Saccharomyces cerevisiae S288C: one gene and its partners. Changing the gene in region 1 together with any one later gene gives a genetic interaction. Each region holds a gene or a part of one and is shown on either strand. Other genes may lie near its edges.

Region 1 (6,152 bases):
GCCTATTCTTTTCTTAAAAGTTTCTTTCTTCTTAATTTTTTCAAGATTACTTGGGAAGATGCCCTATTTCCATTGATTTGAACGTATGTATGAATGAAAAGGAAGTGAGAAGGAACAAGAGAAAAGAACAAAAGAGTTTTTAGTTTTTATATTTGCTTACAGGAACTTCGGCGGCTATTTGTTGTATCGTCGACAGTGACGCTGATTCTTTCAAATATAAATAGCTGCCCCAATTAGTTTTGCTTGGCAAAACCCGACATTGATGAACTAGTGCCGCGCTTAAAAGTATAATGTTGCTCTATTATTTTTCAAAAATTCATACAAAAGAAAACGGGAATTAAGTAAGTATACAAAATATAATTATATTACGATGTTCGAAATTCTATATATGAATTTAAGCGGAGTCGGAAGTCTTAGCTCTCTTGTCCATCTTAGCTTGAGCCTTGTTACCAAGGATACCACCGCCCCAGTGCTTCTTGACTTCATCGTATTTGTCAGCGAAGTTAGCGTCAATGGTGGAAACCAACTTAGCCAAAGCAGCTTCGTCTTCGGCTCTGACTTCGGTCAAAGCGGCAACAGCAGAAGTCTTTTGGTTAACCAAAGTACCCAATCTAGCCTTACCCTTGATAATGGCGTATGGAACACCCATCTTCTTACACAAAGCTGGTAGGAAAACAACCAATTCAATTGGGTCGACGTCGTTAGCAATCAAAACCAACTTGGCCTTCTTGTTTTCAATCAAAGAGACAACATGGTTCAAACCGTACTTAACAGCGTATGGCTTTGGAGAAGCGTCTTGCTTAGACTTACCTTCAGCGATAGCGGCAGCTTCCTTGGTCAATCTTTCCTTCTTTTCAGCAGCGGTTTCTGGTCTGTACTTGTTGAACAACTTGAAGGTTTCAGCAGCGGTGTTTCTGTCCAAAGTGTATTGGAATTGAGCAATGGTTGGAGGAACCTTCAATCTGATGGACAAGATCTTCTTTTGTCTTTGCAATCTGACATATTCTGGCCATTTGACGTATCTGGACAAGTTTCTCTTTGGTTGGACAGCTTGGCCAATACCGAAGTTCTTTGGAGTAGAGTGAGTCAATGGGTTCTTAGCCTTGTTAGACTTAGTGGACTTAGCACCGAATGGAGCTGGAGCAACTTTCTTACCTGGAGCCATCTTTTCTTTCAGTTATCGTGTTCACTGTATTGAAAAACAGATATAAAAAAAAAAAATAGTGAATTTCAACGTGCGCATCACAATACTTATGTCTTGATAATAATATCGATCCCATACTATTGTCCCTGGATTTTGAGATGGGAAAAGTTTCAATGCGTTCTATCGTATAGTATGATGTATTCAAAAAAAATGCGATAATTCTTTAGTTGTCGGCACTTCGGAAGCCAAAAAAAAAAAAAAAAAAAAAAAAGAAAAAAAGAAAAGGGTGTCTAAGATGTACGGATCTTCATTGGGATGGAAAACAGGCAAGTAAAAAGAATAGTAATTATTACAATGGAGAAGATAAGATAAAGTTAGCGGCAACAAATAAAGAACTCATCAGAGTTCTTGGCTTCTCTATGAGTGAAAGTGTTTCAAAGGTGTTTTTTTATGAGACAACAGTAATTCCCCTCCTTCAGAACAGAGTGTAGTGATTGGCAGTGAAGCTATCCCTCTTTGCCACCCAATTTTGACGGCAGTTCTCATAGCATCTCAAAGCAATAGCAGTGCAAAAGTACATAACCGTAGGAAGGTACGCGGTAGGTATTTGAGTTCGTTGGTGGTTATCCTCCGCAAGGCGCTTCGGCGGTTATTTGTTGATAGTCGAAGAACACCAAAAAAAATGCTGTTATTGCTTTCTCCGTAAACAATAAAACCCGGTAGCGGGATAACGCGGCTGATGCTTTTATTTAGGAAGGAATACTTACATTATCATGAGAACATTGTCAAGGGCATTCTGATACGGGCCTTCCATCGCAAGAAAAAGGCAGCAACGGACTGAGGGACGGAGAGAGTTACGGCATAAGAAGTAGTAGGAGAGCAGAGTGTCATAAAGTTATATTATTCTCGTCCTAAAGTCAATTAGTTCTGTTGCGCTTGACAATATATGTCGTGTAATACCGTCCCTTAGCAGAAGAAAGAAAGACGGATCCATATATGTTAAAATGCTTCAGAGATGTTTCTTTAATGTGCCGTCCAACAAAGGTATCTTCTGTAGCTTCCTCTATTTTCGATCAGATCTCATAGTGAGAAGGCGCAATTCAGTAGTTAAAAGCGGGGAACAGTGTGAATCCGGAGACGGCAAGATTGCCCGGCCCTTTTTGCGGAAAAGATAAAACAAGATATATTGCACTTTTTCCACCAAGAAAAACAGGAAGTGGATTAAAAAATCAACAAAGTATAACGCCTATTGTCCCAATAAGCGTCGGTTGTTCTTCTTTATTATTTTACCAAGTACGCTCGAGGGTACATTCTAATGCATTAAAAGACATGAGTAATCCTCAAAAAGCTCTAAACGACTTTCTGTCCAGTGAATCTGTTCATACACATGATAGTTCTAGGAAACAATCTAATAAGCAGTCATCCGACGAAGGACGCTCTTCATCACAACCTTCACATCATCACTCTGGTGGTACTAACAACAATAATAACAATAATAATAATAATAATAACAGTAACAACAACAACAACGGCAACGATGGGGGAAATGATGACGACTATGATTATGAAATGCAAGATTATAGACCTTCTCCGCAAAGTGCGCGGCCTACTCCCACGTATGTTCCACAATATTCTGTAGAAAGTGGGACTGCTTTCCCGATTCAAGAGGTTATTCCTAGCGCATACATTAACACACAAGATATAAACCATAAAGATAACGGTCCGCCGAGTGCAAGCAGTAATAGAGCATTCAGGCCTAGAGGGCAGACCACAGTGTCGGCCAACGTGCTTAACATTGAAGATTTTTACAAAAATGCAGACGATGCGCATACCATCCCGGAGTCACATTTATCGAGAAGGAGAAGTAGGTCGAGGGCTACGAGTAATGCTGGGCACAGTGCCAATACAGGCGCCACGAATGGCAGGACTACTGGTGCCCAAACTAATATGGAAAGCAATGAATCACCACGTAACGTCCCCATTATGGTGAAGCCAAAGACATTATACCAGAACCCTCAAACACCTACAGTCTTGCCCTCCACATACCATCCAATTAATAAATGGTCTTCCGTCAAAAACACTTATTTGAAGGAATTTTTAGCCGAGTTTATGGGAACAATGGTTATGATTATTTTCGGTAGTGCTGTTGTTTGTCAGGTCAATGTTGCTGGGAAAATACAGCAGGACAATTTCAACGTGGCTTTGGATAACCTTAACGTTACCGGGTCTTCTGCAGAAACGATAGACGCTATGAAGAGTTTAACATCCTTGGTTTCATCCGTTGCGGGCGGTACCTTTGATGATGTGGCATTGGGCTGGGCTGCTGCCGTGGTGATGGGCTATTTCTGCGCTGGTGGTAGTGCCATCTCAGGTGCTCATTTGAATCCGTCTATTACATTAGCCAATTTGGTGTATAGAGGTTTTCCCCTGAAGAAAGTTCCTTATTACTTTGCTGGACAATTGATCGGTGCCTTCACAGGCGCTTTGATCTTGTTTATTTGGTACAAAAGGGTGTTACAAGAGGCATATAGCGATTGGTGGATGAATGAAAGTGTTGCGGGAATGTTTTGCGTTTTTCCAAAGCCTTATCTAAGTTCAGGACGGCAATTTTTTTCCGAATTTTTATGTGGAGCTATGTTACAAGCAGGAACATTTGCGCTGACCGATCCTTATACGTGTTTGTCCTCTGATGTTTTCCCATTGATGATGTTTATTTTGATTTTCATTATCAATGCTTCCATGGCTTATCAGACAGGTACAGCAATGAATTTGGCTCGTGATCTGGGCCCACGTCTTGCACTATATGCAGTTGGATTTGATCATAAAATGCTTTGGGTGCATCATCATCATTTCTTTTGGGTTCCCATGGTAGGCCCATTTATTGGTGCGTTAATGGGGGGGTTGGTTTACGATGTCTGTATTTATCAGGGTCATGAATCTCCAGTCAACTGGTCTTTACCAGTTTATAAGGAAATGATTATGAGAGCCTGGTTTAGAAGGCCTGGTTGGAAGAAGAGAAATAGAGCAAGAAGAACATCGGACCTGAGTGACTTCTCATACAATAACGATGATGATGAGGAATTTGGAGAAAGAATGGCTCTTCAAAAGACAAAGACCAAGTCATCTATTTCAGACAACGAAAATGAAGCAGGAGAAAAGAAAGTGCAATTTAAATCTGTTCAGCGCGGCAAAAGAACGTTTGGTGGTATACCAACAATTCTTGAAGAAGAAGATTCCATTGAAACTGCTTCGCTAGGTGCGACGACGACTGATTCTATTGGGTTATCCGACACATCATCAGAAGATTCGCATTATGGTAATGCTAAGAAGGTAACATGAGAAAACAGACAAGAAAAAGAAACAAATAATATAGACTGATAGAAAAAAATACTGCTTACTACCGCCGGTATAATATATATATATATATATATTTACATAGATGATTGCATAGTGTTTTAAAAAGCTTTCCTAGGTTAAGCTATGAATCTTCATAACCTAACCAACTAAATATGAAAATACTGACCCATCGTCTTAAGTAAGTTGACATGAACTCAGCCTGGTCACCTACTATACATGATGTATCGCATGGATGGAAAGAATACCAAACGCTACCTTCCAGGTTAATGATAGTATCCAAACCTAGTTGGAATTTGCCTTGAACATCAAGCAGCGATTCGATATCAGTTGGGAGCATCAATTTGGTCATTGGAATACCATCTATGCTTTTCTCCTCCCATATTCGCAAAAGTAGTAAGGGCTCGTTATATACTTTTGAATATGTAAGATATAATTCTATATGATTTAGTAATTTATTTTCTATACGCTCAGTATTTTTCTGCAGTTGTCGAGTAGGTATTAAACGCAAAAGAAGTCCATCCTTTTCATCATTCAAATGGACATCTTGGCAAAGGGCCCAGTTATGGAAAATCTGGGAGTCATACAACGATTGCAGTTGGCTATGCCACTCCTGGTAAGGAATCATCAAGTCTGATAATTCTGTTTTTTAGCCCTTTTTTTTTTTTTTTCATGGTGTTCTCTTCTCATTGCTTTTCAATTTTAAGTTCGTTACCTTTCATATAGAGTTTCTTAACAGAAATTTCACAACGAAAATATAATTAACTACAGGCATGTAAATATAAAAACAGTCCTTTAATAATAAACCTTAAGCATTACGCGTGTATTAATATAATAAATAGTTATAAATTGAATAAATAGGGGAGAGAAGCCAAAAGGCCCTTCAAAAACAAAGATATAAATTCATCCTTAAAAACAACAATACCTGAAGATACTAGAACACCTTGTCGCCTATGATGGACATATATACAGACCGGGTCATAGCATTGCCAATGATAAATAAATAATAGTCATAGAGAGTAAACATAAACGCCTAACGTATAGGAATGTGTGAGAATGGTGAGTTTCGTCCTTGAAAATAATAATAATAATAGTTGGTGCTTTTATTAGTGCCAAAATCATTTGAGAGGCTTCTGAGTTCTTCGGGGCTAGCTGTTTTTCTGATAGTCTAGGCAAATGCCAAAGATTTCTTAATTTCAGCAATAGCCAAACCAGGATTCAAGCCCTTTGGACAAGTTCTAGTACAGTTCATGATGGTGTGACATCTGTACAATGACATGGAGTTGTTTAGCATGGCCTTTCTTGTCTTTGTAGCTTGGTCTCTAGAGTCAATTAGCCAACGGTAGGCTTGCATTAGCACGGCAGGGCCCAAATACTGTTCTTGGTTCCACCAGTACGATGGACATGAAGTAGAGCAGCATGCACACAGAATACATTCGTAAAGACCATCCAGTTTCTTACGATCTTCAATACTTTGTAGCACTTCCGTTCCATCCTTTGGAAACGATGATCTCTGTAAGTAAGGTTGGATAGATTTGTATTGTTGGTAGAAGTTAGTTAAATCAGGTACCAAATCTTTGACAATAAACATGTGGGGTAATGGATAGATCTTGAGTTGTTTGGATTCGTTCTGGTCGATCTTACATATACAAGC
Region 2 (7,309 bases), on another chromosome or scaffold:
GTCACTAATAAGGACTTAGTCCAGGAGTTATCTATGCTTTTAATGAGCGATGAATCCAATATAGGCTTTGAAAATGGGGGACAGAAAGAAAATAAGGCTACTGAGGGCCAACTGACTGATAAGGAGGTTGAAGAATTGACCAACAGATCTCTTGAAGCGTACAAGGCCAACAGAGTCGTAGATCTGCCGCACGTCAAGCTATTTGAAACAACCTCCGGTCTTTAACTTGGTTATCATACAATATTGTTTTTATTAAATGTTTGTATATATGTACATATACATACCTATATATTGATCAATGTTCTTGCCGTACAAATTCTTCCTCTAGTTGTTCCTTTAGTTCACGGTTTTTGAATAAAGTATCCGCAGTATTCATTCGTTGCAGAAAGGTATCTTGAATATTATTTTTTGTGTTCTGGAAATCAGCTTTTAGTTTAGTAATCCATTCCAGTATCAAAGTCATATCCAGATCATGTTTTACCAGACGGTTCCTCTCAGAAATAACTTTCTTTTTCAATTCCATGAAACGGAGCCAGTTGGAATGATTCTCTTCTATATAGGCAGGATCGTATTGATCTTCCAAATGGAGACCTCTGACGTCCATATATGCCATTCTTTGCGACCATTGACTTATCATTACATCGCCCCACTCTTCGTACACTTCGACGTTTTCAAGACGAATCGATTCTGCCAGTTTAGCCATTTCGGTAAGAAAAGAATCTAATGAATGAAACAGTGATTTTTCAAAGTCTAACAAATGTATTTTATAATTCTTCAGTATCGATGTGATAGATGATTTGGTAATGTAAGCTTCCAGTTCAACTTGACCCGATTCATCAAAATACTTTATTTTATTTTGCACAGGATCGAATTTAGAGGTACAATTAATATCTTTGATTTTTGAATCTAGAAACACTAATTGCTCATTAACGGTAGTGTTAAGGTCATCAAGATTCCTAGTGATTTCTATAGATTTATTTTGCACCTCGGCCTCGAACACAGACTGTATCTCTGAATCCAAAAGTGCCATCGCACTGTGTATTTTCGAATCTATAGCCTTAATCCATGCTTCATATTCCATTTTTAATGATTCTGCCTCGTAAGTTTCCAATTCTGCATGGCTATTGGAACCAATGATAATCTTTGACAAATCCTGCAAAATAGCAGCAGTGACGAGTTGTGAGTTCCCGTGGCCATCCTGTACTCCATCGAACTCGTATTCTTTATTTTCATCCTCAATTCCGACATCATCCTCATCCTCATCTTCATCCTCATCCTCATTTTCATTCTCATCATCCTCATAATCCTCTGTTTCCGAGTCTGTCTCAAAAATGGGTTTGGTGAGCGTGCCATCAGCGCTAAAGGAGCCGTATTTCATCCAATCCGTAGAGGAGTTAAATGGATTCTCTAGTACATTCTTCACATTGTCTGTATATGGCTTTAAATAGTACCAGGCAATCCTTAGATGATTTAATAAAGGTCCCAACTTGGAATGTAGCGAACAGCAGAGCTCATTTAGCCTTAGAAAAGAGAAAATATTGTACCAAAAGCGGTAAAAATATCCCATAATTCTCTTCAAGGATGAGTTGGGGTATCTTTCAATCAGTGGTTTTATCGATTGTGAGTACTTTCCAACTAAATAGTCAGAAACCGCTGAACCTTCAACCAATTTAGAATCGAATAGTGAGCCAACTGAAAATTCAGTATGCCGGCAAATGGGCTGTAAATCTGTGGCAAAGCTTCCCAGACCATTTTGCTGACAGACCAGATACCTTGCAATAAACACGCAAGCCAGCAAAGCAGTCGTTACTTTGAAAACGGCCTTCATGATTTTTAGTAAAGAACTAACCACCTTTTTCTTAGTTAAGAAAAGGTCAATCAGTAACAGAAATATGATAGTAGCAACACCCAAAAAAATGCTATCTTCCAATAGTCAAAAAGGAAGCCTCGATGCCATACAAGTCTCTTCTAAAGTACTATTATGTAATTCCTGTTAAATGATACCTGTATTGTGGCTTAAAAGGGCCGAAATGACAACAAAATGAGTAGGGTTAATTTAATTTTTAAAGAGGGCATTTATCTAAAAAATGAAAGACAACTATAGGGCTGGTAATTATAGAATAGGTCTTAGTAGGGTTATCCCTTCCTCTAGAAAAAAAGAAAGAAAAATAATTTTAAGTGGCCAATTAGAACCAAAACCAACAGTATCGTGGTATCATACGCTCCAAAGCAACTAGAAGAAAGGCCTTATTTGACCATTGGATTCAGTATTTTTTCTCCAAGTAGCGGTTAAAAGACTGAGAGACTAAAGCTAGATAGTGGGTTTGAGTGACTATCCCCTTTTTTCCTCCTCTTTTTTTATTATTTTGATTTTATTTCATTTTGATTTTATTTCAACACGATTAAGACACAAGCGTTACTTCCCTAGACTATAGTCTCTGCCGTTCCCATTCTATTGATTTTTGGAGCAGCAGTTTTTACAAAAGAAAAGAAAAAAAAGACGAAAACAACAAGCCAGAGTAAAGATGTCGTTTTGGCCATTTGGACAGAATCTTAATCACTCTAATATTAATAAGATCCTAGATGAATATTTTCATGTGCTACACGAACTGGAAAGGATTAACCCAAGCGTTGGTAAAGCCATTCCCGCTATTTTCAACAACGTTCAGGAACGAGGTACAAGTGACTCCCTAGATTCTATTCCGGAGGAGTATAGTCATGGTGATGAAGTGAAAACGGCACGTGGAGATCAGAAGAGTCGATTTGAGAAGGATGATCAGCAAGAACGGTATGAGAAAGAGGAAGAGGAACGGAGCATGAACTCTAGCGAATCTTCCACTACATCTTTTTCTTCTGGGTCAACTTCTAAAACTGATTTAGATGAGGAGGATATCAGCAATGCTACTGCTCCCATGATGGTCACCACAAAGAATTTGGATAACTCTTTTATTGAAAGAATGCTTGTAGAGACAGAGCTACTGAACGAATTATCGAGACAAAACAAGACGCTACTTGACTTCATTTGCTTTGGATTTTTCTTTGATAAGAAAACTAATAAGAAAGTGAATAATATGGAATATCTGGTCGACCAACTGATGGAATGTATCTCGAAGATTAAAACCGCCACCACAGTGGATTTGAATAACCTGATAGATTATCAAGAACAGCAACAGCTTGATGATAGCTCACAAGAGGACGTTTATGTGGAATCTGATACGGAGCAAGAAGAGGAGAAAGAGGACGATAATAACAGCAATAACAAGAAGAGACGAAAACGCGGAAGCTCCTCGTTTGGTAACGATGATATCAACAACAATGACGACGACGACGATGCGAATGAGGACGATGAATCTGCTTATTTGACAAAGGCCACCATAATATCTGAAATCTTTTCCTTAGACATATGGTTGATTAGCGAGTCATTAGTTAAAAACCAATCATACTTAAACAAGATTTGGTCTATCATCAACCAGCCAAATTTCAATTCTGAAAACTCTCCCTTGGTACCCATATTCTTAAAGATTAACCAAAATCTGTTGTTAACCAGGCAGGATCAATATTTAAATTTTATTCGAACGGAGAGAAGCTTTGTTGATGATATGTTAAAGCATGTTGATATTTCCCTATTGATGGATTTTTTCTTGAAAATAATATCCACAGATAAGATTGAATCACCCACGGGAATAATTGAATTAGTATATGATCAAAACTTGATCAGCAAATGCTTAAGCTTTCTAAATAACAAAGAGTCCCCAGCTGACATCCAAGCATGCGTGGGTGATTTCTTAAAGGCTCTGATTGCCATTTCTGCTAATGCACCCTTGGATGATATTTCCATTGGTCCAAACTCCTTGACGAGACAGCTAGCATCTCCCGAATCCATTGCAAAGCTAGTCGATATCATGATCAACCAAAGAGGTGCCGCATTAAATACCACAGTTTCGATTGTCATTGAGCTGATAAGGAAAAACAATTCAGACTACGATCAAGTTAATCTTTTAACCACTACTATAAAGACTCATCCACCTTCAAATAGAGATCCAATATATTTAGGCTATCTACTTCGGAAATTTTCAAACCATTTGTCCGATTTTTTCCAAATCATTCTAGATATTGAAAATGACGCCAACATCCCATTACATGAAAATCAGTTGCACGAAAAATTTAAACCTTTAGGATTTGAAAGATTCAAAGTGGTGGAATTAATCGCCGAGTTACTGCATTGCTCTAATATGGGATTAATGAATTCCAAAAGGGCAGAAAGAATAGCCAGAAGAAGAGATAAAGTAAGGAGCCAGTTATCCCATCATTTACAAGATGCATTAAACGATCTGAGTATCGAAGAAAAGGAGCAACTTAAAACGAAGCACTCTCCAACACGTGACACTGATCACGACCTAAAAAATAACAACGGTAAAATAGATAACGACAATAATGATAATGATGATGAAAGTGACTATGGCGACGAAATAGACGAGAGCTTCGAAATTCCATACATCAATATGAAGCAAAACATAAAACTTAGGACCGACCCCACGGTCGGGGACCTATTCAAAATCAAACTATATGATACGCGAATTGTTTCCAAAATAATGGAACTATTCTTAACACATCCTTGGAACAATTTTTGGCATAATGTTATATTCGACATAATTCAGCAAATCTTCAATGGAAGAATGGATTTTTCCTATAATTCCTTCCTTGTTTTGTCTCTGTTTAACTTAAAGAGCTCCTATCAATTTATGACTGATATCGTCATATCAGATGAAAAAGGAACGGATGTTTCCCGATTTTCTCCCGTTATTAGAGACCCAAATTTTGATTTCAAAATAACTACAGACTTCATATTAAGGGGCTACCAGGATTCATATAAATTTTATGAGCTAAGGAAAATGAATTTGGGATATATGGGCCATATTGTCTTGATTGCCGAAGAAGTGGTCAAATTTTCTAAATTGTACAAAGTGGAACTAATATCTCCCGATATTCAAGTAATTTTACAAACCGAAGAATGGCAATACTACTCCGAAGAAGTCTTAAACGAAACAAGAATGATGTACTCTAAAATTCTTGGCGGTGGAAGTTATATTGATGATGGAAATGGTAACATCATTCCGCAGCTGCCTGACAATACTACTGTATTAACTCCAAATGGTGATGCAAGTAATAATAATGAAATCCTTGATTCAGATACCGGGAGTAGTAATGGAACAAGTGGTGGCGGCCAATTAATCAATGTTGAGTCTCTAGAAGAACAGTTGTCCTTATCTACAGAATCTGATTTACACAACAAGTTAAGGGAAATGTTAATCAATAGGGCTCAAGAAGACGTTGATAATAAGAACACGGAAAATGGGGTTTTCATACTGGGGCCGCCGGAGGACAAGAACAGTAATAGTAACATTAACAATACCAACCATAATAGTAATAATAGTAATAACAACGATAATAACGATAATAATGATAATGACAATGATAATACTCGTAATTATAATGAAGATGCTGATAATGATAATGATTATGATCATGAATGATACATTGTTTTGTACTTTTCTTTAATTTGTATATATATATATTAATTTATATGTATAAGTACCATGTAGTTTTCTATTCATTCATTCATTCATCATGATAATATTACTTCTTACGTATCATTTACGTGAATAGATCACTTTACCGTTAGGCAATTCCATTTTCTTTTGGCCTTTCTTTGCAGAACCCTTTTTTACTTTGTTCCCCTTTTTTGTTTGGTTACCATCATACTTTTTACTATCCGTTATTATTTCTTCTTTTCCTGCGCTACCAACAGATTTGCCAAACGTCATGTTCCAAACCGAAGCAGGTATTCTCCAAAACAAACAGTTCTTTACTGAAGGTTTATCCAAGGTATCTGGCGAAATTAGTGTTTCACTTCCATCAGGCTCTACAACATAGACATCGCTAAACCTTACAACCAAACTTTTACCCTCATCCTTTTCATGTTGTTTAAACGTTAGTTGTTTTACGCCTAGTCCATTGGTATCATCCTGTTGTTTACACTGACTGATGAAGTTTTCAATTCTTGATCTTTGAGAACGATATTGAATAATAGAAATGATATACTGCCCAATATTAACGACTATCCAAATAAAGGCCAGCAGGAACCAAGTCTTAGGCTTCATTCTGGAAAAATAAAAACCACCCTTATGGAAATCATAGTTTGGAAAGCCATTCTGTAGATAATAATCATAAATCTTACGATTAGAGCTGTTTGAAAGAATTTGAGTAGCGAGGTTTAACCTTTCATACAATTTACGGTATTTAGGGTTCTTATCCGGATGGTACTTCTTGGATAGCTTTCTTAAGTTTTTTGTAATCTCCTTTGTACTAGAATTCTGCAGTTTAGGTAACTTCAAGAACTTGTAGAAGTTCATATCTGGGCCATATTTCGTACTTATTTCATTTTGTAATTGGAAAATTTCTGTTTCAATGGTGGTAAAAGCATATGATAGAGATACCAATCCCAGGACAACCAACGCAGGTTTCCAGTAACCGTTCATTCTTTTAGTGATCTTGTAACCTTGATTTTTTGTTCGTTTTCTATTCTTTTGGTACGTGTTATTTTGAAAATCTCATTTTTTTCGTGATTATTAATTTTGAATATGGAAATTAAATATGATTTACCTTCAAATTGGGAAATAATGTAAATACAACGTCAATAAAAGTATTTGTTCGGTCACATATATTTAACTAGCATTGAGGATGGCAGGTATCAAGTTGACGCATAAGCTTTATCAGTATTATCAATTAGCCACAAGCTTTTTGTATGCTGCATTATTGATACGGTGGCTGATATTAATGCCACTGGTAGGGTCTCGGTTTTTACCGGGAGGAATCCACGAATTCTTGATATATTTGATGTTTTATTCCAGCATCATGGAAGTTATTTGGTTGCTTAGATTCCACGGGTTCAAATATGGTTTGCTTTCAAGAACGTTTTTGAAAGACCTAAATTTTATCTATTTAGTCAGCGTGATCCATTTTTATGACGATTATGAGCATGCATTGATCCTCAAGAATGCATCATATTCTAGTTTCATTATTTCCTTATCTTTATCACAGGCATATTGCCATTGGTGCAAACTTTTTAAACGTAAGGGCGTAAAGGAAAGAACACTTGTATGGAAGGTTAACACATTTGTTACATTGCCAATTCTCTACCTGAGTGAATTTGCATTGCTACTATTAAATATCCAGGTTAAGAACTATCATTCTACCCCGACTTTGGACATAATCAACAGGGTGGTTTTACTAGCATACTTCCCTGTAC
Region 3 (9,126 bases), on another chromosome or scaffold:
CATATATTGGCTGGAGTTTCGTCTTCTTATTTTGTTCACTGTCATCATCGTCGCATAGATTAATCAGATAAACTGCGTTATTGCCTCCAACCATTGGCATAATACAATAACCTTCTCCAAAAGGAAGGTAACGTCCTCTCCAGATTGGAAAATTTGTTGTTACAGTTCTCTTTGATTCTGTCGTACTTTTTGAATAATCCCAAAACTTCACCGTCCCATCGTTCGAACTCGACATAATTTCAGAATATTTGAACCGGTTAAAATCTATGCTATTTACGGAGCTTACATGGCCTTTCAAAGAACAGAGGGGAGTGGAGCCTTTTCTCAAATCCCACACAAATATATCATTTCCATGTGAAGATGCCAAGACGTTAGGATCCTTGTAATTCCACTTCACTTGAGAAGCAGCAGATCTCCATGAACTTGTCGAATAAAATGGTCTATGTGGACTTCTCATATCCCAAGCATGTACATACGTATCGACTGAACAGGTAGCTAAAACATCCGGATGTTGCGGATTGAAGTTTATATCTGTAATTGCTCTTGAGTGCCCATGAAGTACAAACTCAATGGCATTTGATGAAGATTTTGCTAAGTTCCATATGATTGCCTTTTGATTCGATGTCGAGACTATCCAATATGGTTTTGCGGGATGTGGCGACCATTGTACATCAGCAACTTGCCAGGGCGTAATATGATGCAACCACCTTGGAGGTGTAAACGGATCATCCAGGTCGATAATATAAAGACCTTGCCGACTGGCCAAAACAATATCCCTACCAGAGGGATTGATAGATACGGCATTGAACCCACCATCTACTTTCAACGATAATGATTTTCCAAAAGTGGGCGAATTATACGGACCTTCATTTATACTACTGCACATAATTAATTCTTCAGTGAATAAACGGGCCAGAGGCGATTTCCCTCAAATATCTTACAATGTTTTTGAAAGTGGGGTGCTCAGCTGATTTGCATCTTTTGATGACCTACTCTGAGATGTTCTTCGACTACATCCCACAGAATGTAAGGGTAACTTGTAATTATCTAACTGTTGCAACTTAGTAAAAATATACAGAAATTCAACGTATGTAAGCAGTCACACTGACTATTTGGCAACTCATACTTAGTAAAGATATCATAGAAGCATTGTAAAATATAAAAAAGGATAGATATATTATTGTCTACTCTTTCGTAACGGCATCAAAAATGGCCTTGAAAGGGCCCTTGAATCCTGTCCACTTTTCAAACTGAGCTACACCTTGGTGTACTAACATTTGTGATCCAGGGACAACGTGCCATTGATATTTGTCTTGTGAAATTGTCATAACGGGAGTAACGCTTGGTTTGTATGCGGCTTCCAATAAGGTTGGTACAAAAGCAGCATGGGCACCTTTCACAAGGAATCTCTCCAGCTTACTTAAAAGTTCGTCATCTAATGGTTTGTCGGCTGGTACACAGCTGACAGCAACGCCAACGTGTTCCTTAATCTCTTCTATAGATTTAGTGGACTCTATTCCAATAATGTTGAATTCAGATGGAAGTGACTCTATTAATGGCTTCAATTTCGAAGTTGTCCTGTTGATTATGAAGATCTTTTTGCAACCTAAACTGTGCAAGGCGTAAAGGGCGGCTCTAGAAGTGCCACCTGCACCGATAACCAAACCAGCGGTATGACCAACATATTCGGGAACGCCATTGTTAATTAAGGCATTACGGATACCTAACCAGTCGGTATTATCACCCTTAAACTTCTTGTTACCCAATGGTATAACTGTGTTTACAGCACCAATAACTTTAGCAGCATCAGTCAATTCATCCATGTACTGCATTATATCTAATTTCAGAGGAATTGTGACTGCAGCACCGCCAAAGTTCTTGTTTCCGTCCAAAAGTTTTTCTTTCACCAATTGTGCGGATTCAGTTTCAAATTTATCGAACTTGTGAGGTAAACCTAAAATTTCATAGCCAGTGTTATGTAAAATTGGCGATCTAGAGTGGCCAATTGGCTTTCCAACAACAAACAGTTCCTTAGGCTCGATACCTCCCATAGATGTATACATCTTGTTAATTTGTGCTACTGTCAATTGGCCAGGGGCAGCGGAGTTAGGCAATAAATCTGATGTCACAGGTGTTAAAACATTATTCAAAACACGAGAAATGCTACCTTTAGAAGTCATATTAACTGCAATTAAAGGCTTATTCTTGTGTGTATCCCTAAAGTGTTCCAGTCTCAAATTATCTTCGAAATTAACAGCCGTACCCACAAATTTTACAACATCCACATCAAGAGTTAACGCTTGATTGAATCTGTTTTCCCATTCAGCGTCGTCCCAGGAGTATAATCCTTGGAAGTCATGATGGGAACCAATGATCTTGGTGTTGCCCCTTTTGTTAATAACCTCATATTGGATATCAGTAGGTAAAGTTAGTTCTAAGTCAAGGAATTCAACACCATTCTTCAAGGCAATATCGTATAGCTCTCTCAAGGTTTTGAACTCTTCATCAGGAAAGTTGCCACCTTGCTTCATGGTTCGCACAGTAAAAATGATAGGAATACTGTCAGTGGCTTTACGCAATATAGATAACTGTTTACTCACGAAATCAGCAGAGTAATTAGCCAAATGGTCTACTCTGACCTCTACAGCCTCACAACCATAACAGATTGGAGTCAAATTCTCAGTTTGTTCAGTTAAGTCATCAAAGGTTAAACACACAAAGGCAGATCTTCCGCTTGGAATTTCTATTTCTCTGACACCTGTAATGGTTGCAATGTACTTACTAAACGATCTTCTTAGAGCTTGGAACTCAGCTTCTGCGGAGCAATGAGGAGCAAAGAAAGAGAAATTTGAGCATTCTTTATACCACCCCTCCCTTCTGTTCCAAACTTCACGAATTTCTTCCACATAGGCAGGTCTTGAAGGATCACTTTGTAAAAAGACAATTGTCTCCTCAATATCCCTATGTAAGTGTAAAACGTATCCACCTGATGAGGCAAAATCTTTTAAGGCTTTTCTAGACTCAGCGCTTTCAACAATACCGCCACCTGTTGAGAAAACATATCCATCATCGCCGTAATTTTGAATAACTTCCTTGAAAATTCTTGTTTCTTCCTCACGGAACTTCTCCCAACCGTTCTCCACAACAAATTGTTTAACACTTTGATTGTTATGCTGTTGCTCAAACAGCTCGTCTAGGTCAACTAATTTGTAACCCAGAGCGGATGCGCACCATTTACTTATAGTAGTTTTGCCAGCTGCTCTCATGCCAATAATGACAACGCTTTTCTTTGAGTTCTTTTTGGATGTGCACTCTAAAGGTTCTGCACCATCTAATTTGGCACCTAGTTCGGAATGTAACACATCCCACCAGCCAGGCCAGGTTTTACCAGTACAATGTCTTTCAAGTATTCTTACAGGATTAGCAACTTCGTCACGTTCATTTTGAGAATTTACCATTCCTGCAAGAAGCGAGAAACTCATGGCCACACGATGATCATCATATGTGCATACACCGACAGGTCCAGAAGAGTCGGAAGGAACCTTCAAATCTTTTATCGAGTTTAAACCATGGACTTGAATACCATCTGGTAATTCTGTAGTTTTGACGCCAAATTTGGCGAGCTCTGTAGCCATGGCCAAAATTCTGTTACACTCTTTGACACGCTGGTTTGCAATACCTTCAATGGTGGTTGTATTTGCAGAATTTGGATCACTGTCGTGCGAAATAGCGGCAACAACACATGCAGTTAAGAACGCATCAGTCATTGGCTCCATATCAACATGTTTTAATGGCTTTAAAGTACCTACAGGAGGACCCGAAACAGTAGTTGAAGTTGCCGTTTGAGTTATTTTACAACCCATAGGTTTCAAGACATCTCTTGCAAATCTGGCATCACCTTGTAACGACTCAAAACCAATGTTTGGAACCGTTACGGTAGTACCAGTCATTGCGGCGAAGGCCAATGGGTATGTAGCACTTGAGGCATCACTTTCAATGACGTATTCTGATGGGTTAATATAATGTCCCTTTGGAATATAATAAGTGTAAGGTTCTGTAGTAGAAGTTTCAACATTGATACCGAATTTTTCCATCATTTTTATTGTCATATCGACGTACAATTTAGAGATTGGCTTACCACCAACAAGAGCCAAAGTTACAGGTTCTTCAGCGTATGGGGCACACATCAAGATAGAGGATACGTACTGAGAAGAAACTGTAGCAGCTAATTCAATTCTACCACCTTTGAATACCGAATCAGTATAAACTTTGATTGGCAGGGAACCTTCATTATTCAAGTACTCAATTTTAGTACCATTAGCACGCAAAGAATCGACCAAAGGAGCAATTGGTCTTTGTTGCATTCTTGCGTTACCAGTTAAAACGATATACTTTTGGCTTGAAGTAGAATTGACCAAGGCAGCCAAGGAAGTCAAAAATCTAGATGCAGTACCTGCATTACCTAGATATAAGGGGTCAGCACAAGCTGACAATGTGGAACCACCATGTCCTTCCACCACTACCGTCTCACCATTATCTTCCCATGATATCGTAGCACCTTTCAATTCATGAACAGCGGTTAACATATGTTTAGTATCATCAGAATGTAATAAGTTCTTGATTTTACATTGACCTTCACCGAGGGCAGCAAGAATTAAAGCACGATTGGAGATGGACTTAGAACCAGGGGGGATAACAACTTTCTGTTGATCAGCAGGGATGTCCTTGAAGGGGTAAACGAGGGTTTCATCTGTTAGAATAAATCTCAGGTCTTCATCGCTAACAAATTGAGCGGAGTCACCATAGCACTTACCAATACTTTCTAAAATGACCACCTTCTTTTTGGAACCCTCGTTTTTCTTGTCAATACTCATTTTCTTCAATAAGATATCCAATGGTGTTTTCTTATGTAAGGTTAGCTCTTTAAACCATTTCTCATCAGGCGAAACAGGCAACCCGTAGGCAACCAAAATCTTGGATAGACGTGCAACTTGGGTAGGGGAGAGAATACCGAAATAACGGGATAATTCCGCCTCTTTAACCATACCAATGGACACACATTCACCATGTAATGCTTGTGGGGTTAGTATAGCTTCATAAGCATGACCAATAGAATGTCCGAAGTTCAAAAGGTTTCTTAGACTGGATTCACGTTCATCCGAAGAGACAACTTCCGCTTTGACCTTAATACTCTCAAGAACTAACTTATATGTATGATCCAACATAGCTTCAATATCTGTATTCGATATCTCGTCAATCTCGTTTGTCAATTGATTGGTAACCTTGACATTTTTTGCCCCATTAACAACATTTAAGAACAACGAAGCGTTTGATTCTAATCTAGTAAATTCGTCAGCGTTCCAAATACAAGCAGTCTTGATAACTTCTGCCATCCCATTGATAAACTCTCTCTTGGCTAACGTTTCTAGCCATTTAATATCTACAAGGACAAATTTTGGTTGCCAAAATGCACCAATAAAGTTTTTACCTAGAGGAGTGTCAATAGCAGTTTTACCACCAATGGAGGAATCGACCATTGCCAATAAGGATGTTGGTACTTGGACAACACGAACACCTCTCATAAATGTAGATGCAACGAACCCAATCATGTCACCAATAACACCACCACCGATCGCTACCATAACCGTATCACGAGTACATCCTTCCACTAAAAGATAATCTTCTAGCTGCGCTTTGGTTTCTCTACTTTTACTTGTCTCACCTGGTTTAACAACATAAGTAAGTAAACGAGAGCCTTCTGGCAAAGAAGCCTTGAATTCCAGGACTAATTGCTGGTAGTATGGAACTTTACTCAAGTTCGTATCATTGCAAATAACGTATGTCGAAGAAGGACAATGTTTAATTATGGTTTCAACCAAATGGTCATGAATGTTATACCCAACGTGGATAATATCATTTCCTAGAATTGGGACTTTGGCTAACTGCACCATCGTAATATACAATTATCTTACGTAGGGATTTCTCAACTAGGAGATTATATAAACTTGAACGACCGAGTATAGCTGTGATCTGTTACTAATGGTTACGAGTCGGCGTCCTACCTTCTATATTAATAAACCGCTTGTATAATGAATTTGTTCGACATTTGCGGTTAGAATCTATGGCGGTGAGAAAAAACCGAGTGAAAAAAAATTTCATGTTCGGGATGAGTCATATGCATGACAATTTACTATATTAAATCTGTGAGATTGGCCAGGAAGGTACCTTTGTCATATATATTGGGAATTTCGGACGCGTCTTTAATCGTGATGTAGTGTGTAAGGTTGTAGTGCTTATGGTCGTAGGCATTCGTGCTATAAAACGTAACATGTTGATCTTGGAGTGGTTCAGCAGCGTCATCTTTTTGTTCTGTGCATTTGAAAAACCAAGATGGGCAATCATCATCCAATGATCTCACCAGTTTTCCTTCTCTCATATACTCTTGAATGGTATACCATTTATCTTGCTCATTTGTAGTCATTCCCTCCTTTACAATGGCCAATTGAAGATACGTGAAAATAGCGCAGATGATAGTGAAGCATCCACATAATATGGTAAGAGTCAGAACAGCTCTAGGGAGCGTACTTGTGCTATTTAAAGAAATGTACCACAGCCTTAGAAAGGCGTAGCACATCGAGAATATGTTGGAAATTAGGAAAAGGTAGAATTGAAGGTAGTTTCCCTTTCCGATGCAGTTATTTATCCAGATGCAATGATGGTCGGCGACGAGAACGCATCGGTTGCAAATGCTACAATGTTTGGATCTAGCAGGCTTGACGATCCGGCATGTCGAACACTTTATGGCAGGATAATACAATAGGTAATCATATGGATATTCCTCTGTCGAGCCTGATTTATGATCCTTTGAATCCTCAGCTCTGCTTACCATGGCTAGAATTCCTAATGCTACCGGCGGTAGTATAATTATAGGCACGATCAGTATTCGTTCTAAAAGGAATAGCTCATTCTTAATCGTAGACTCCACTCTCATGTGGTATGTATATACTAGGTACAGGTAAATAGAGGTGTAGAAAAGAGGTACTAAATGCAACTTCCAACGATATTTTTGGTCATCCACTAGGAAGGGCTGAAACACATTACGATAGAAAGTCGAAAATGGCCATGTTGACTTGAAGACGGGCGAAAGTAATATCAAAACTACGAATCCTATTAGCAGCACAAATAGTAGATTCCATGACATTGTTTGTTCTTTTCATGTTAGGAGACAAAGATATCTTCTTTGGAGGCATAATGAAGTTTTTTTTAGGAAGGCGGAAGTATATATACAATGACACTACCTTTGTTGATAGCTACGAATTTCCTAAAGAGAAAGTATATTGTAGTATTTATATGAGTTGCATAGTACGTTATTCAAGGATAAAATGCCGAATAAATGCTTTAGATGATTTAAAATTCTGTATCGGATGGTTTTAATTAAAAAGTTTCGTTGGAGGTTTTCACCTCATTTTTGAAAAATAAAAATTCAGACCAAAACATTAATTATTTTGGCTTTGAATATACTGACCTCCTGGAAAGCCCTTGGACATTACTAAAATTGAGACAACTGTTTCGATTCCAGCTTAGAACTCCACAGAGCTTCACATGTTTTACACCTCTATTTATATATTCTGACAGTTTCCTTATGCCTTTCCAGTTTAAGGATGAGCGAATGAAAAATGCTTTTAATAAAGAGGTACTTGATGGACCCTGAAAGTTTAAGGAGGCAGATAATGAATGTATATAAATGTTACATGTGGAAGAGAGCGTTCCACAGTAATAGAAGCCTACTGGAAGTTAAACGTCGTGAAAAGAGTCTCCAGAGAAAAATTTTGGAAAGGATTCTTAGACCCAAGGAGGAAAATGCTGTCAAAAAATCTGGATTCAAGCTATGGTCAAGCCATTTGAATAACCCACACAAAACTTATATGCGGCTGGAGGAATTACAGAGACGTATTATGGAAGAGGTACACGTTGAAGGTATTAAAAAGAATGATAAGTTATTCAACGAAATAAATCAATGGCATTTCCAAAATGAAAACACAAGTACTGTTCGAACACCAACATTGCTGATACATGGCTATGCCGCATCTTCAATGTCTTTTTTCAGAAATTATCCAGGTCTGTCCAAGCACATCCGAAATTTATACTCAATTGACATGCCAGCGAGCGGATTGTCTTCAGTACCGTCTTTAGAGATCAATACAACAACACCTCTGCCGTTAGATATCAAATTTATTGGAGAAAATAAATTTAAGGTTCCATATACAATAAATGCAAATCACAATAAATTTGTGATTCAAATGTACGAAGATTTCTATCTCGACAGAATCGAGCAATGGCGCATTGATAACAAATTGGGCAAAATGAATGTTGTGGGGCATTCTTTTGGCGGATATTTATCTTTTAAATATGCTGTTAAATATCCAAACTCGGTAAACAAACTTTGCTTGGTATCCCCACTAGGAGTGGAAAGGAATATCTGGTCTGTAAATAATAATTTCCACTCCAACACTCTTTATACTATCGATTTTAAAAATCCAAATTCCAAGTTTTACTCCAAAAGAAATATGATTCCAAAATACTTATTTGAACAACAATTTCACATTTTGAGAATGATGGGACCATTAGGAGCTAAGTTATGTTGGAATTACATAATGGCGGCATATAGCCGAGTCCCATCGTTGGCATACAAAGAGTACATATTTGAACTGTTTTACGGTAAGGGAGGTATACCGGAGGTTACGACAGATATTTTCAAAGCGTTATTTTCAAGATGTATCCTAGCAAAGGACCCCTTGATGGATTCTCTGCAATATTTAAATGTTAAGAAATTATTGATAGTATATGGGCAATATGATTGGATGAATAAAAAAGCCGGTATGTTCATGGTCAAAGAGTTGAACAATTTAAAGAACTGTCTAGAAGGAGCAAGTTATTTAGAAATACCTTCTTCCGGTCACAATCTTTTTTTAGATAACCCAGAATCATTCAACCAATCTATAGTGTCCTTCTTATCAGACGAAACTAAATCGCCTTGATAGCAACCAAATCAAGTAGCAAAGAGCCAAAAAATGTGTTAATGTATGCTATCCCCCTTTTTGCTTTTGCGCTCCTCACACCTCTTTT
Region 4 (7,913 bases), on another chromosome or scaffold:
GTAGTCTCCGGCATACGACATAGCATGTTGTGGTATATTATAATCTATAATGGCTATACAACTAGACGAGGTGATATATTGTCCTGTATTATTCTTCTTATATTTGTGACAAGTTCTTGACACTTTTGCTCACCCAGCTCCAGTAAACTGAACAATTGATCTTCATTAAAATCACCATTGCTGTCTAACAATAAAACGTTTTTCACGACTTTACCGCCATTGACGAACTCCAGAGCTAAAGTGTGGACAGAGAGCGAAATCTTCAATTGCTCGGCAGTGGGATCGACAATGATATCACTAGTGTCTTTGATTATTGCAATAGGGATGCTTGCGCACATACTATTTAAGGCAATTCCTGCATCAACTAAAGCCAAAAATGCCGCATTTATACAACAACTTAGCTCTCTCAGGGAGAATTCGGCTTCATCTTCACCAGATTCCAGAATTTGACAAGTTATCTGGCAGAGCTGTCTTGGGTAACAATGACGAGTGATGAGTGGGGTCAGAACTGCCCGTAATTTATCTTCGAGTACCTTCTCTCTTGTTGTGGCCACCCCTTTCGCGGGACGTACAATAATTTCTAATGCTAATTGTGTAGGCAGTTCTTGTCTTGCTTTTGGTTCAATAGGGCCTGTTACAGAACAAATAACCTTGGTGTCTTGTGATACGAATTCAGATGAACCATCTACATGATCTAATATCCCTATTTCTGCTTGGACGCTCATTTTTTTTTTTTTTTCAGCAGAATCTAATCTATTCTTGGTATTGGGCTCCTTGTTATTACCATATATGCAGAGATATTTTATGCATCTTAACTGGTTCATCTAACAAATTTTCCACTCTTTTTTCCACAATCCGATGCGCTTAAAAGGAAAAAAAAAGTAGTAAAAAGAAAAAGAGAGGTACATAATAGTCTTTATGAAGAAAAGGCGCTATTTTGTCACCTTTAACTTGGCATAGTCTGGAGCTTTATATAAACCATTCAAAGTACATAAATGTTGATATGTTCAAAGAGGAGGACTCGTTAAGAAAAGGGCAAAATGTGGCCGCGTGGAAAACTTTGTTGGCTGGCGCCGTATCCGGGCTGCTTGCCCGTAGCATAACTGCTCCCATGGATACCATTAAGATCAGATTGCAATTGACCCCTGCAAATGGGCTGAAGCCCTTCGGAAGTCAGGTCATGGAGGTGGCCAGAAGCATGATAAAGAACGAAGGCATCCGGTCCTTTTGGAAGGGTAACATACCCGGTTCTTTGCTGTACGTTACCTATGGCTCAGCGCAGTTTAGTTCATACTCCCTTTTTAATAGATATTTAACTCCATTTGGACTAGAGGCGCGCTTACATAGTCTTGTTGTCGGAGCCTTTGCTGGCATAACCAGTTCCATCGTTTCCTACCCGTTCGATGTTTTACGGACCCGACTAGTTGCCAACAACCAGATGCACTCAATGAGCATCACGAGAGAAGTGCGTGATATCTGGAAACTAGAAGGTCTCCCCGGATTTTTCAAGGGCTCCATCGCGTCAATGACAACCATAACTCTAACCGCATCTATAATGTTCGGAACATACGAAACAATCAGGATATACTGTGACGAAAACGAAAAAACGACCGCCGCGCATAAAAAATGGGAACTGGCTACTTTAAATCACAGCGCTGGTACCATTGGCGGCGTCATTGCTAAGATCATTACTTTCCCCCTCGAAACGATCCGTAGGCGAATGCAGTTCATGAATTCGAAGCATCTGGAAAAGTTCTCCCGTCATTCGTCTGTATACGGTTCTTATAAAGGGTACGGATTCGCAAGAATCGGTTTACAGATTTTGAAACAAGAAGGTGTGAGTTCGCTTTACAGAGGTATTCTGGTGGCCCTTTCCAAGACAATACCCACCACTTTTGTGAGTTTCTGGGGGTATGAAACTGCCATCCATTATTTGCGGATGTACTAAAGTTTCCAATCTTTTTTGTCACATGTACACACTCATATACATATACGAAATCATCATATCTTATATTCTTCACTGACAAAGATCGGTAGCCGCCCGGTTTTCCATTCCGATTACGGCCTGACTCAGTCGCGCCGTCTTCCTCTAATAACAAAAAATCGAAAAAAAAAGAGGAATCTCGTTGCTAGCGATCTGACGCCAACCCTTTTTCCGGTTTTTCTTAGTTGCCTGCTGCCCCGCACCGGTTTTTCTTCTTTTTTTTATCTTTTTTTCCGCTCAGTCAGCGGGGAAGGGAGAGAAGGAAACAATGAATCGGATCTTCCGATGGAACCAGCGTCAGGGACCACTACATCTGCTTGTTGTTTCAACACAACTTACATCTGCGCAAGCACACGGACTAGGAGTAACAAGAAGTAGTAAAATTGAAGAAAGCAAGGACTGCTGCAATCTCTGCACCCTTGTGGTAGCCACCCTTCTTAGATGTGGCATACTTACACTTTTTTTTTTCTTTTTTTTTTTTTTTTTTCGCCTTTTCTCATTTCTTGGCTCCTTAATAGCCAAGAAATGAGAAACGTGGGAGATGTTCAACCTCGCCTGATCCTACCAAAAAAAAAAATCGCAAAAATAAGCGGGAAAAAATGTCAGATTCTAAGTTTCAAACCTCCGGAGATGATTCATCATCACCATCACCGCCGATTTGTTGGATTGCGTGTTTACGATCCATCATTTTTCTTGTAAGCGTTTAGCTTTCTGTCATCTCTTTATCTTTTTTCCTATTTTTTTTTTTCACTAGTTTTTGCACTGAATAACACCTCCCCTTACTCATAAATGTGCTAGCTGAATCCATATTTCCTAGTCTTGCATTCCCTTTCCCTTCAAACAGCGCTGCCCTTCTTCATCTTCATTGTCGAAAATAACCATTCTTCTCCTATCTTGAAATCTAAAAATAACGCTACTACAGAAAGCTTTTTTCACAGGAACTAGGGCGAAGCGTACAAGAATAAGGAAAGACAGCGTAGTTACAAACTAAACTATCTATACTATAACGACCGAAAATTTCTGTTTTTTAACACCTCTTCTACCAAACACAACGAGAGTGCATTAGAAATAGGACAAAACTGGGCTCAAACTAATGTCTGATTACTTTAGTTCCAGACCTTCGCAAACGCTCACGCCGATGGGCAATAAGCCATCTGGCGGTGGTGGCGGCGATGACGCCTCCTCCATCCACTCGAAGAGCTCGCAGTACTTGATGGACATCTTACCTGATTCGATGACCTTGAACGAAAGTGTTTCCTCCATAGTGGCAAACAATCAGGCAAAGGAGTTTATTTTGCCTGAAACAGATGAGAGATCTCCCTACTTCATAAACGTCCCTATACCAAAGGCTCAGCCAACCTCTACTACGGAAACGAAGAAGCCCCTTGCAGGTGATGAAGCTATCGATGGGCAGTTTGTTAAGGAGTATCCCACCGACATCCTTGTAGACAGGTTTTATAAATGGAAAAAAATTCTGAAAGGGTTAGTGATTTACTTGAGGGAAGTCGCGTATGCGCAAGAACAGTTCGCACGGATCAATTACCAACTGAAAGGATCTGTGAAATTTCCATTTTTGACTGATATTGATGAAACCACAAATACCATTACGGATCCATTCACAACGGCTCCTAGAGGCCCTAAGAAAGCGCAGCCTGCGCAGAAGAAAGTTGGCCTGACTGACAGCGAACAATTTCAGATGCAAATGCAACAGGAACAGCAGGAAAATGCAGTGCAGGCTCCCACAGATGAAAGTAAAATGAGTTTGGCGCCTCATGAATACAAGCCTGTCCAGACCACAGAGTCGGACAATACATCTGCCGCATCCGGTTTTGTTAAGTTCGGTTCAGGCTCGATTCAAGACATCCAGGTCATTTTGAAGAAGTACCATCTTTCGTTGGCTAACCAGCAATTTAAGATCTCTAAAGAGATTACGTCCACCGTCATTCCTAAATTGGAGGAATTGAGAAAAGATTTAAGATATAAAATTACGGAAATTAAGGACCTTCATGGTGATTTCAAAACAAACATCGGAGCACATATTCAGCTAACAAGTCAACTATTGAAAAAATACATCGCAGCTGTAAAATTCATGAACGCGCATGGTATTGGCAACGATAGAGCATCTCCTACTAATAAGAAGCCACATAAATTGGATCCAAAACATGATCCATATCTTTTGAAACTGCAACTAGACTTACAACTCAAACGTCAAGTTGCCGAAGAAACTTACTTGCAAGAAGCGTTCATCAATTTACAGAGTTCAGGTTTGCAATTAGAAAAAATTATATACACCAAAATCCAGCATGCTTTGTTGCGTTATTCTGCTTTAATTGACTCCGAAGCTCGTCTAATGATCAAAAATATGTGCCAAGAACTACAACATGGTATAATATCAAAGCCTCCTGCATTTGAATGGGATAATTTTGTCACACAGCATCCGTCCTGTCTACTCAATTGGAAATCCAACGATCCTATACCACCACCAAGAAAAGTTTCCGACGTTATTTATCCCCACATGAAATCCCCACTGGCCAAGTGTATTAAGGCAGGTTATTTTTTGAAGAAATCGGAATTGTTGCCCACTTACCACCAAGGATATTTTGTTCTAACATCAAACTATATTCATGAATTCCAGAGTAGCGATTTTTATAACCTATCTTCTTCTACCCCTAACTCCACGAAGTCTTCAGCTTATTCTTCTTCCGTTTCCATTGCAGACACTTATGCCAATGCTAATAATGCCAAAGCTAACAATCATCATCGCCAGGCTAGTGATGTACATAACAGCAGTACGACAACTGGTGGTACAGCTGGTGCAAATGGTATTCGCGGTATTCGCAAAAAGAGCTATTTGGCACCGATTATGAGTATTCCGCTAAATGATTGTACCTTAAAGGATGCATCTTCCACCAAATTTGTTCTTGTAGGTAAACCCACTCTTAATGAAAACGCTGATGTTAGAAAATCTAGCTCTAGCACTTATTTATCTGGCTCTTCACAAGCGTCTTTACCAAAATATGGCCACGAGACTGCAAAAATATTTTCAAAAGCCCCATTCCACAAGTTTTTGAAGGGAAGTAAGCCCAAAAATAAGAATACGAAATCAAGTGAACTGGACCAATTTTACGCTGCAGCTCAAAAGGAATCGAACAATTATGTGACTTGGACCTTTAAAATAGTATCTCCAGAGCCTTCTGAAGAGGAATTGAAACATTTTAAACGTTGGGTCCAAGATTTGAAAAATTTAACGAGCTTCAATGACACTAAAGATAGAATTAAGTTTATCGAAGACCGTGTGATGAAATCACACCGATTCAAGGCGGGACATATGTCAAGAAACAGCGTGAACATAGGTTCCCATACACCTTGTTTAACAGATAGCACATTCACATTACAAGACGGTACTACGACGTCCGTCAACCTAAAGGGCAGGGCGGAGAAACCTCAGTATATTCATATTCAGAACAATTCACTAGCAGATTTTGATGGAAATGGTTTTAGATCCAAGGTTAATACACCTGCTATTGACGATTATGGCAATTTGATTACGGTGGAAAGAAGACCTGCACAATCTCCGCACCAATACTCTGACTACATGGCCACTTCAGGTAACACAACTCCTTCTTATTCATCGGGCTCAAGACCTCAAAGCATGTATAATGGGTATAACCCGGCTGTATCAATAACGAGTAATGGGATGATGCTCCAACAATCAACAGCAAATAATAATACTAATCCAACAACTAATTTGCGCCACCAAAGAAATATTTCACAAACAAGTTCCCTACCTGGATTTTCATACACATCCCTATCCCTACCAGTGAATTCTCCAGGTAGCTCTAATTCAGAATCCAGCTCAGGCGGTTATTTTGCCATTCCGCTTCATGGGAACAACAACAATAATAATTACACCCAGAGAAACTCTGAAGGCTCTAGCCCATGTTATAATGACGACCAAATACGACAACAACAGCAACCTTTACAAATGCAACCTTTATCAAGAACTTCAAGTTCAAGTGTTAATGTCACAGCGATGAGAAGTACATCTGCAGGTAATTCAATTACAGCGAACGCTCCCGTTGTACCTAAGGTGATGGTCAATAACCAAAATGTTAAAACTGTTGCTGCCGATCAGTCTGCTACAGCACCTTCTTCACCTACCATGAATTCGTCCGTCACAACGATCAACCGCGAATCACCATACCAAACCTTAAAGAAAACGAACAGCACAGGCAATGTTCCTTGTTTGACTGCTGAAAAGACTCATGCGCACCCTGCTTTCTATAAACGGGGCAATAATAGCGCCCAAAATTTGACTACCTCTAGTTCAACAGCTTCTAGGGTGCATCCTATCCGAAAGCACAAGAAAAACGTATCATTTAGTTCTTTGAATAGTTTAATGTTTTCAAAAAAGGGTGCAAATCACGGTGGTAATCTAATGACTAACCAATTTATGAGTGGTGGAATTCAAGAAGATGATGGTGATTCAACTAATAATGATACTATAAAGCTAAACCAGTCGATTTATTCTTAATTGTTACGCCTTAACTTTTGTTCTCTTTTGAGAAACAGCCTGTATGGTTCGCCGTTTATTTTCTAAGCACCGTTTTTTATTCATATTTTTATAATGCAACTCCTATAGAATATAGATGTTTCGTGTTTTTAATTCCTGCTATGACTTTGTGTCAATGGTATGTGAACTAACAACTGTGTGGTAGTTTGGGATGGTACGTAAAGGTGTTCGTGATTATATAAGCAATCTTAAAATATTTGTATCGCACCATGAGGTGCCCAATAATGAAATGAAAATTACTATTATGAACTATACTAAAAAGATGAAACTTTTTTATCAATCCCAGGTTCTTTTACTTATTATTTTTGGATATAAGAACAAAATCGGATTTCCCATGCTTTTTCTCAATGCCTATATGAAATCTTTTCGAAACAGCCAGTACATGTAACAATTATGATACGAACTTGATCGGTAACCCATAAATAACAGGAGCTGCGCCGTTCAAGTAACGTAGATGGCATACACCTCTAGATTTAGAGACGGCATATGAAACAGATAGGCTATTACCATTCAAATCGTCAGTATTACAGCGAAATCCCATCTTTTCAAAAAGTTCCTCGCTAAATTTATCAATATCTTTGTCAGTTACATCCCACAGATTACCTAGTACCATAGGGCATCCTCCCAGCAAATAAGTATAGATTGTTCCAGTAGGTTCTAACTTGCCGTAATATTTCATCGCTGCTGAAGAGCAGCCCAGTAAAAAGCTGGGGGCAATTTTGGTGCATTTCTTAATCTCCTTACTCCTTACATATTGTTCACCTCCGCCATGCCCTATATAAACGAATAAGTTAGAATTTTGCAGCATTTTCAAAAGTGTTTCCTCTTCCGGCTTCTCGTTCATCACTAATTGAGAGGAAGGTTTTGCATCGATTATTTTTTGGAACATACCCTTGAATTTAGATTCAGTCCTGGACAAATCTCCGTTCGGATTTAATATCATACTAATGTTGTCCTCAATAGTTACTTGAAGGGGTAGTTGGTAATGGAAACGCGATAAAAGTTTATTCAGACAAACATAGGACGGAACACGTGTGATAGACAAATCTTTCAAAAATGAAAGACACTCCCAAGGGAATAAATGGCATGAACTGCTAACGACTAAAAATGTATGAAATATACTATTAGTTGTCATAGTTGCCCTATATTTCTTTATTTGCTCTTCTAACTGCACGTGAAGCATGCTGAAATCAATTTCGTCGTAAGCATTTTCTTCACCATGGAAGAGAAGAATATCAAGAACAAAGTATATCAGGTCTTCCATCTTCGAAAGAAAATCGATTTCTTGCGGATTAAGTTTCAAGAACAATTCGATTACCCAATCTTCAACTTTTATAAACATTGCCGGATTGCCAT

Evidence for each region.
Region 2: mutations in FPS1 (region 1) and SAP155 together harm fitness more than expected from each alone (negative genetic interaction), as found in Saccharomyces cerevisiae (2 studies listed by BioGRID).
Region 3: mutations in FPS1 (region 1) and ARO1 together harm fitness more than expected from each alone (negative genetic interaction), as found in Saccharomyces cerevisiae (3 studies listed by BioGRID).
Region 4: of FPS1 (region 1) and ASK10, extra expression of one rescues a mutant of the other (dosage rescue), as found in Saccharomyces cerevisiae (3 studies listed by BioGRID, with this or other methods).

Annotation. Positions count from the first base shown.
Region 1 is NC_001144.5:47,465-53,616, forward strand, and holds FPS1 (Fps1p), read left to right. Parts: upstream 1-2,473; coding exon 2,474-4,483; downstream 4,484-6,152. Other genes in the region: 60S ribosomal protein eL8 RPL8B, read right to left, coding at 395-1,165; ATG10 (E2-like conjugating enzyme), read right to left, coding at 4,623-5,126; succinate dehydrogenase iron-sulfur protein subunit SDH2, read right to left, coding at 5,667-6,152. UniProt on the Saccharomyces cerevisiae protein: Channel protein for glycerol. Has a role in both glycerol influx and efflux. Plays a role in osmoregulation: under osmotic stress the channel is apparently closed to allow accumulation of glycerol in the cell under hyperosmotic conditions.
Region 2 is NC_001138.5:231,717-239,025, forward strand, and holds SAP155 (Sap155p), read left to right. Parts: upstream 1-2,525; coding exon 2,526-5,534; downstream 5,535-7,309. Other genes in the region: IRC5 (putative ATPase), read left to right, coding at 1-225; OSW7 (Osw7p), read right to left, coding at 296-1,828; ERJ5 (Erj5p), read right to left, coding at 5,652-6,539; KEG1 (Keg1p), read left to right, coding at 6,742-7,309. UniProt on the Saccharomyces cerevisiae protein: Positive regulator of protein phosphatase SIT4. Involved in directing expression of TOR-repressed genes and in dephosphorylation of NPR1 in response to nutrient starvation. Negatively modulates K(+) efflux of the cell by the Na(+)-K(+)/H(+) antiporter NHA1.
Region 3 is NC_001136.10:701,309-710,434, reverse strand, and holds ARO1 (pentafunctional protein ARO1p), read right to left. Parts: upstream 5,952-9,126; coding exon 1,185-5,951; downstream 1-1,184. Other genes in the region: MTC5 (Mtc5p), read right to left, coding at 1-886; palmitoyltransferase SWF1, read right to left, coding at 6,191-7,201; ECM18 (alpha/beta hydrolase family protein), read left to right, coding at 7,677-9,038. UniProt on the Saccharomyces cerevisiae protein: The AROM polypeptide catalyzes 5 consecutive enzymatic reactions in prechorismate polyaromatic amino acid biosynthesis.
Region 4 is NC_001139.9:675,618-683,530, forward strand, and holds ASK10 (Ask10p), read left to right. Parts: upstream 1-3,077; coding exon 3,078-6,518; downstream 6,519-7,913. Other genes in the region: exosome non-catalytic core subunit RRP46, read right to left, coding at 54-725; thiamine transporter TPC1, read left to right, coding at 1,004-1,948; ESP1 (separase), read right to left, coding at 6,949-7,913. UniProt on the Saccharomyces cerevisiae protein: Positive regulator of FPS1 glycerol channel required for the glycerol efflux. As a component of the RNA polymerase II holoenzyme, is required for SSN8 destruction in response to oxidative stress but not heat shock.